Arabidopsis thaliana: one gene and its partner. The protein of the gene in region 1 interacts with the protein of each later gene in a pairwise test. Each region holds a gene or a part of one and is shown in the gene's direction. Other genes may lie near its edges. The genes, in order: LBD21 and AT3G23690.

The links.
Region 2: the proteins of LBD21 (region 1) and AT3G23690 interact in a two-hybrid assay, tested with the Arabidopsis thaliana proteins (one large-scale study listed by BioGRID).

The regions. Positions count from the first base shown.
Region 1 is NC_003074.8:3,472,839-3,476,382, forward strand, and holds LBD21 (LOB domain-containing protein 21), read left to right. Parts: upstream 1-2,083; 5' UTR 2,084-2,197; coding exon 2,198-2,695; 3' UTR 2,696-3,010; downstream 3,011-3,544. Other genes in the region: RLP35 (receptor like protein 35), read left to right, coding at 1-474.
Region 2 is NC_003074.8:8,529,295-8,533,222, reverse strand, and holds the start of AT3G23690 (basic helix-loop-helix (bHLH) DNA-binding superfamily protein), read left to right. Parts: upstream 1-1,864; 5' UTR 1,865-2,567; coding exon 2,568-2,987; intron 2,988-3,152; coding exon 3,153-3,353; intron 3,354-3,453; coding exon 3,454-3,588; intron 3,589-3,671; coding exon 3,672-3,743; intron 3,744-3,826; coding exon 3,827-3,928. Other genes in the region: AT3G23700 (Nucleic acid-binding proteins superfamily), read left to right, coding at 14-75, 148-307, 399-519, 601-682, 763-866, 1,154-1,232, 1,317-1,367, 1,451-1,534.

The DNA.
Region 1 (3,544 bases):
AACAATGCTTTTGGTGGCCACATCCCATCATCTATGGGGAACCTGACAGCTCTCGAGTCATTGGACGTTTCCCAGAACAAGCTTACAGGAGAGATTCCACAAGAGCTAGGGGACCTTTCGTTCCTTGCGTATATGAACTTCTCTCATAACCAGCTTGCAGGCCTAGTACCAGGAGGTACGCAGTTTCGAAGGCAAAATTGCTCTGCCTTTGAGAATAACCTGGGACTTTTTGGCCCTTCTCTTGACGAAGTCTGCAGAGATAAACATACGCCAGCATCACAACAGAATGAAACGACAGAAACAGAGGAAGAAGACGAAGAAGAGATAAGCTGGATAGCAGCCGCAATAGGATTCATACCTGGAATTGTCTTTGGATTAACGATTGGATACATATTGGTTTCCTACAAACCAGAGTGGTTCATGAACCCTTTTGGCCGAAACAATCGTCGACGCAGAAACACCACCACCCACTAGAGAGGTAATGTTCCGACTTTTGAACGAGTTTGGTAGCTTTCCATCAGAATGAATTTTATTTCTGTTTTAACAACTTATTTTCGTTGTTATAGGCTTATAACCTATCTGAATAATCTGGAAGAGGAAAGTCAAAGTAACCGGACGAACTCCTTGACGTTAACCAACCACTCTTTTAGCCATTTTCAAATCCAGATTGTTTCCGGTTTAGCTTGTGTTTTTCTCTTCTACTCTGTTTTTAGCCAACTTTGTAATTGAACAACTCTGTTTTTCGCTCTTTAGATGTACATGTAAAGTTGTTTTTTCCCGCGAGTTTGTTGTTATCATTTCTTTCCCCATTGCACTCTCGTATCTAAAAATGTATGTCTATTTGTTCGTATCAATTAAGACGCAGAAATACAGAGCAATTATAGAATTGGGGAATATTTGATCAAAAAGCCATTTTTACTGTATTTTGATAAACTAAACCTTATACATGGATATATTTGAAGTCAGTTGTGTCTGGTTCTTTATTAGACATTTATCTGCTATTTTGCAGCAGCAAGCTGTTTCATTCTCGACATTTTCAAGTAGTTTATACGAGAATGGAGAAGTGTGTTTTGATGATGAGTTTTTGGGTTTTTGGTAATGGCTTAAGGAAAGGGAGTGATTATATGCTAAGCTCTGTGAACTACTAGAAAAGTTTAGGTAAGCCTATGGGATTATAATCCATAGTGGAAAAGGAATGGAAAGCATTACATATTACGATTTAATTTATGAAATGACAAGATAAGAAGATTTAATTAAGTAAATGACAATTCTTTTTAAGTTGCTACTAGCAATTTCTTTAAACCATTACTTGTTTGTATATTTATACTCATTCACAAAGGTTAAGAGATAACAATATTATCGTTTTGTGTACTCATTATAAAGGTTAAAAGATTTAAGGTCCTTAAGATTTATGAATATTTGATTTAACAAAAGAAATTTTAAGTTTTGAGTTAAGTTTTTCTTGTTATTGGTATAAATTCACAACCAAAATGAATGATGAGTAGAAGAGGAAGCCAAAGAAAGAAGAGAAAATGGATAGTGAAGGGGACGGTGGTGATGGTGGTGGGCTTCTCATTCTCTCACTTTTCTTGTCAAATGTCTTGTCTTCTCCATTTCCACACTCCAATTTTTATATGCTACCTGTGATTTTATTTATTTTATTATTTGACTTTCTTTTGCTTAAGCTATGTATAATCTACAATAAGAACCACAAAAAGTGATATAAGCTCAGTTCTATATTGGTGCCCACTTTGTAAGAAATTTCCTCTTCAATTTGGAGCAAAGTGAAAGCTATTTTGTATTTTGCTTGATTGACTTGTTTCCACTAATCCAAAAGTCTTGCTTCTCTTGTTTCTTCTTCTATAAAAGAGAAAATTAGCTGATGTGTTGTTACTTTAACTCTCTCTATCTCTATAGTACCTTTGATTTTTCAATATATGATTATGATTTATGGACTCGAACTCACGACCAATCATGTAATTAGCAAGGAAAAGCTCAAAGCCAACACAAATGATGAATAGGCCCATGCCTTGTCCCATTTGTTTCCTTCTCTCTATTACTTTCAAAAACACTCTTCTTCACAAAAAGTTAAAAGACTCTTATCAATATATAAAGGAAGCACGAGATAAAACTTAGAAAAAACGAGAGCCTAACATTTACCACCAAAAAATCAAAACAAACAAACAAAAAGTTTGAGATGAGAGGGCATGAGCCACGATCAAGCTCATCTTGTGCAGCCTGCAAGCTCTTGAAGAGACGATGCACACCCACTTGCATTTTCGCTCCTTATTTCCGCTCAAGTGACTTGATAACTTTCGCCAAAGTCCATAAAGTCTTTGGAGCCAGCAACGTCAGTAAGCTTCTCGGTGAAGTTCCTGAAGAACAGAGACAAGAAACCGTTAACTCCTTGGCTTATGAAGCTGAGGTTCGTCTCAAGGATCCTGTTTACGGTTGCATTGGAGCCATAGCGTCTCTGCAGAAGAAGATGCTCGAGCTTCAACACGATCTAGCTGTTGCTCGCACTCGACTACTTGCCCATTCTGGGGTCAACAACAGCCAAGTGTCCCCTTTGGATGATTCTCCTGAGCTTGCTGCTTTTCTTGATCTTGTACCTTATAGTGACTTGATGTTGCTTGATGGGTCTACTAATCTTGATGCTTACTTGTATGATCTTGGACAGCCTCCTTTTGTATAGGCCTTATCTCTCTATCATATATCTCTTTATCAGCTGTATTTGCACTTTGCTTTACAAGTTATCTTTGACAATCTAAAGTCTGTCCCTAATGTATGAATTCCAGTATGCATAATCAGATGCTTACTTCATCATATGTATGAAAAAGGGTTTTAACTTCAAAAGTAACCATCACATGCGATGAGATAACTCAGGTACAAGATGAGCCTTGGAAGGTCAGAGTCCTTACCAGTTTTGGACCAAGTGGTAGGCCAAGGTGAGTAAAGTGAGGTGTTTTAGATGAAGAGCTTCTTTGTAAGTCAGGTATGAATAGGAGAGCACATGCTTATGTCATCCCGAAATTCTACCAAACATGAAACATTGATATATATGCTTCTATGATGTTCTTTTTTGAGGCTCCAATAATACAGCCTCATGTGTCAACTCGTCTCCCTCAGGCCACAAGAGTCTTGTCCTGGAGATTCCAGAGTGCAGCAAAGTCACATAAGCAAACATCCAAATCAATAGCTTGGTGGGTTTGATCAAATTCCAAACTGAATTATGAATGACTCTGATAAGAGTTCTCCTCAGAACCGTTCTACGCATCTTGTTAAGTCTGTACACATTCCTGAAACCTGCCTAAGCAAAAGAGTAATTGCAGATCACAGAAAGAGAGATGAGCACAATTTGGAACTGCAGACACTGATACACAAACCATCATACATTGATACTTCACAAAAGTACATCTTGATATGTCAGATACTATGAGAGTTCTTTTGGTAATTCGCATTGCTACTACCAATGTAACTCTACAATGCTAAAAAAGAGAATGAAAAAGAAGAAGAAGAAAAAAAGCATCGCGCTATAACTTAA
Region 2 (3,928 bases), 5.1 Mb from region 1:
TTGCTTTATGAAGAGCCTCAGAAAAGTATTCATGAGATAGCTAAGACTTTGGTTGGTTCTAAACTTCCTGTAAAGGTAAAGTTTTCTCCTTTGGCTTGTTTTGTGATCTCTATATTGTTTATAATTTGAGGTAAATCTTTATATTAGGTTGTTCAAGCTGATGAGGAAAATAGAAAGTTGATTTTATCTGAGAAGTTAGCATTATGGCCAAAGTATTCACAAAACGTTAATGTTGGGGATGTGTTTAACGGAAGAGTAGGTTCTGTTGAGGACTATGGTGCCTTTATCCACTTGCGTTTTGATGATGGTATATTTGCTTTTACCTAAATTTCTTGGTTTCTTTTTCTTGTTTTGAGCTTATGACATTGATGTCAGTTATGTGGGGTGGTGGTGTATAGGTCTTTATCATTTAACTGGACTAGTGCATGTCTCCGAAGTATCATGGGATTACGTTCAAGATGTTAGGGATGTACTACGCGATGGTGACGAGGTTCGGGTTATAGTCACGAATATTGACAAGTGAGTTGCTTATTTTGGTTACTGAAATTTATTAGCCATGACTCATGATATAGTTTTTAATCAAAAGTTGTTCCAATGCAGAGAGAAATCAAGGATTACACTATCCATCAAACAACTAGAAGATGATCCTCTTCTAGAAACATTAGACAAAGTGATTTTGAAGGTAAAACAATGTGAATGAATGTGTTTTCTGTCTCTTGTGGGTCTTAGTGATTTTTAATAGATAATTGAATATTGTTACAGGACAGTTCTACTGGATCTCCTTCGCTAAGCTCGAACAATGGGGATACAATTGAACCTCTTCCAGGGCTAGAAACAATACTTGAAGAGCTTTTAAAGGAAGATGGGTATATAGACAATATCATTTTATAATTTAAATTTACTATGCAGTCCTAGTCAGCTCTTTGCATAATATCTGCTTATTATAAGTGACTAGGATCACCTCTACTCTACTAGATTTGTTCACTCCTCGATTTGCGATTGAATATATACATGTCAATAGCTATTGCTGGCTGATACTTTTTCTGAACCCATGATGAGTTGGATATTGTTAATTGCATTACTTATAGAATCTATGTTTCAGGCATAACATTTTGGTTCCAGTGTGTAACTAATATTCATTTCTATATTGCAGAATAGAAGCTGTGAAAATCAACCGGCAAGGATTTGAGAAAAGAGTGGTTTCACAAGACCTACAACTTTGGCTCTCAAATGTGAGTTCTGTTTCTCTTTACTTTCCCGTAAGAATAAACTCTGCTCTGTGAAAATTCTGATTCTATGCGCATGTTCACACGCAGACACCGCCTTCTGATGGGAAGTTTGTTCTTCTTGCCCGTGCTGGAAGACAGGTAAATCTCAGAAGCTACCCATTTATATGGCCATAGATAGAGAGATTCTTGGTTTGATTTTAAGTAAAATATTAACATTACAGGTGCAAGAGATACACTTGACAACGTCTCTGGAACAAGGAGGAATCAAGAAAGCGCTTCAGCATGTACTAGAACGCGTCCCCTAAGAACCCGAAAAAAGACTTTTGATACTCAGCCACTATATTCAGCTCTATGCATCTCAAACTCTTGCCAATGTAACTTCAAGTGGAGCAGAGACTACTTCAGAAATATTCTTAAAAGGCAAAAATGCAAATTCATTTGTATCATCATTATATGTCACACATAACACAAACCTATGAAAATATATGTGTATACTCAATGTTTTTAGTTACACATTATAAACTTCATTAACATAAACAACTCATAATACATCAAATTCAAGTCTAAAACCTTCTCAAGTCAATAATTGACTTTTTTGACACCATGTTTTGGTAAGTACCATCATCTTTTAAAATAGTCTCTTAACCAAGAATAATCAAACATGATAATTAAAAACAATTTTATCCTTTTGTTTGTTTTCTCTCCCACAACTTTCCTGTCTCTGCCATGCACATGCTCTCTCTCTCTCTCTCTTTCTTCTCTCTTATTCTCACTCCAATGATTACAGAGGCCAGCCTAAGCAGCCTACCCACTTTCACCATCTAATGTTCCCACATTAACATAAAACACACGTAAGATTCTTCTCCTTTTGAACTGTAAAATTCACTCTTTTTTAATTTCTTAATCTTTCTTATCATTACTTTCTCTTTTTTATTTTGTCATTTTCTCTTAAACCTTCTTCTTCTTCTTCCTTTGATCAGTAAAAAAAGTCACCGCCTTCTTCTTCTCTTTCCTCTTTCCCCTAATTGATCAATCATGCTTCTTCATTTCTAGTTCTCTCTTCCTGACTCATTTCCCTCATTAGATCTTCTTCTCCACTAAACCCATAATTGAAAGAAGCTCTTTTTTTGCTTACATTGAAGTTAAAAAATCATCACTTGTTTTGTTTTTGAAGAAACACACATAAAGTTTGTCTTTTTACTTCTCAAATTTGGTTGTTTTCACTCAATTTCAATCTTGCTTTCTGATTCAGATTCTGGGTTTTCTTCAGAATTCCCAGAGAAGTTGTTGGAATTGAATTTTTCACTTTTTTGTTCATAAAAGTTCTAGTCTTTTTAGATGAACATGGACAAGGAAACAGAGCAAACCCTAAATTACTTACCTTTGGGTCAGAGCGATCCCTTTGGCAATGGCAATGAAGGAACAATTGGAGATTTCCTTGGAAGATACTGCAACAACCCTCAGGAGATTTCACCGTTAACTCTACAATCCTTCTCTCTGAATTCTCAGATCTCCGAGAATTTCCCAATCTCTGGTGGAATCAGATTCCCTCCATATCCAGGTCAATTTGGATCCGATCGTGAATTTGGGTCACAACCAACAACGCAGGAGAGTAACAAGAGCTCTTTGTTGGATCCAGATTCAGTTTCGGATCGAGTTCACACCACGAAATCTAACTCTAGAAAGAGGAAGTCGATTCCTAGTGGTAATGGCAAGGAGTCTCCAGCTTCATCGTCTCTTACAGCTTCCAATTCAAAGGTTTTGATTCATTATCTCTCTTGCTCTATTTCAAAAATGTATACTTTAGGAAACTGTAGCCATATGTGTAAGAAAGTTTGTGTTTTGTGGAGACTTTTTATCTATAGACCTTTTAGTGTGTGTACAAGGTTTTTTAGTTGTGTTTGGTTTTGGATATATGATTAGGTTTCAGGAGAGAATGGTGGATCTAAAGGTGGGAAGAGAAGCAAGCAAGATGTAGCTGGGAGTAGTAAAAACGGAGTAGAGAAGTGCGATAGTAAAGGCGACAATAAGGACGATGCTAAGCCTCCTGAGGCGCCTAAAGATTATATTCATGTCAGAGCTAGAAGGGGTCAAGCAACTGATAGCCATAGTCTTGCTGAAAGAGTACTACACACCTTCTAAAACTGATCTGTTTTTTTGTTGATTAGGGGCTGTTTTGATGTTTATGATGTTGATGTTTTTTTTGGCTGTGTTTTGGTTTCAGGCAAGAAGAGAAAAGATTAGTGAGAGAATGACGTTGCTTCAGGATCTGGTTCCTGGTTGCAACCGGATTACAGGGAAAGCAGTCATGCTTGATGAAATTATAAATTATGTGCAGTCCTTGCAGAGACAAGTTGAGGTATGAATTGTGTATTTCATAAATGTTCTTGAAAGTTGGAGTTTGTATATCTTGAATCTAAAACTCGTGGTTTGTTTCTTTAGTTCTTGTCCATGAAGCTGGCTACCGTAAATCCAAGGATGGAGTTTAATGCTAATGCTTCTTTATCCACAGAGGTAAGATTCTGCTTTGTATCTATAATGGAATGGTCAGATTATGGAATGTTTTGTATCTATAATGTGTGTATTTGTATGTGTAGATGATTCAACCGGGGGAGTCGTTAACGCAGTCTCTTTACGCAATGGCTTGCTCAGAGCAAAGACTTCCATCAGCATACTATTCACTTGGCAAGAACATGCCA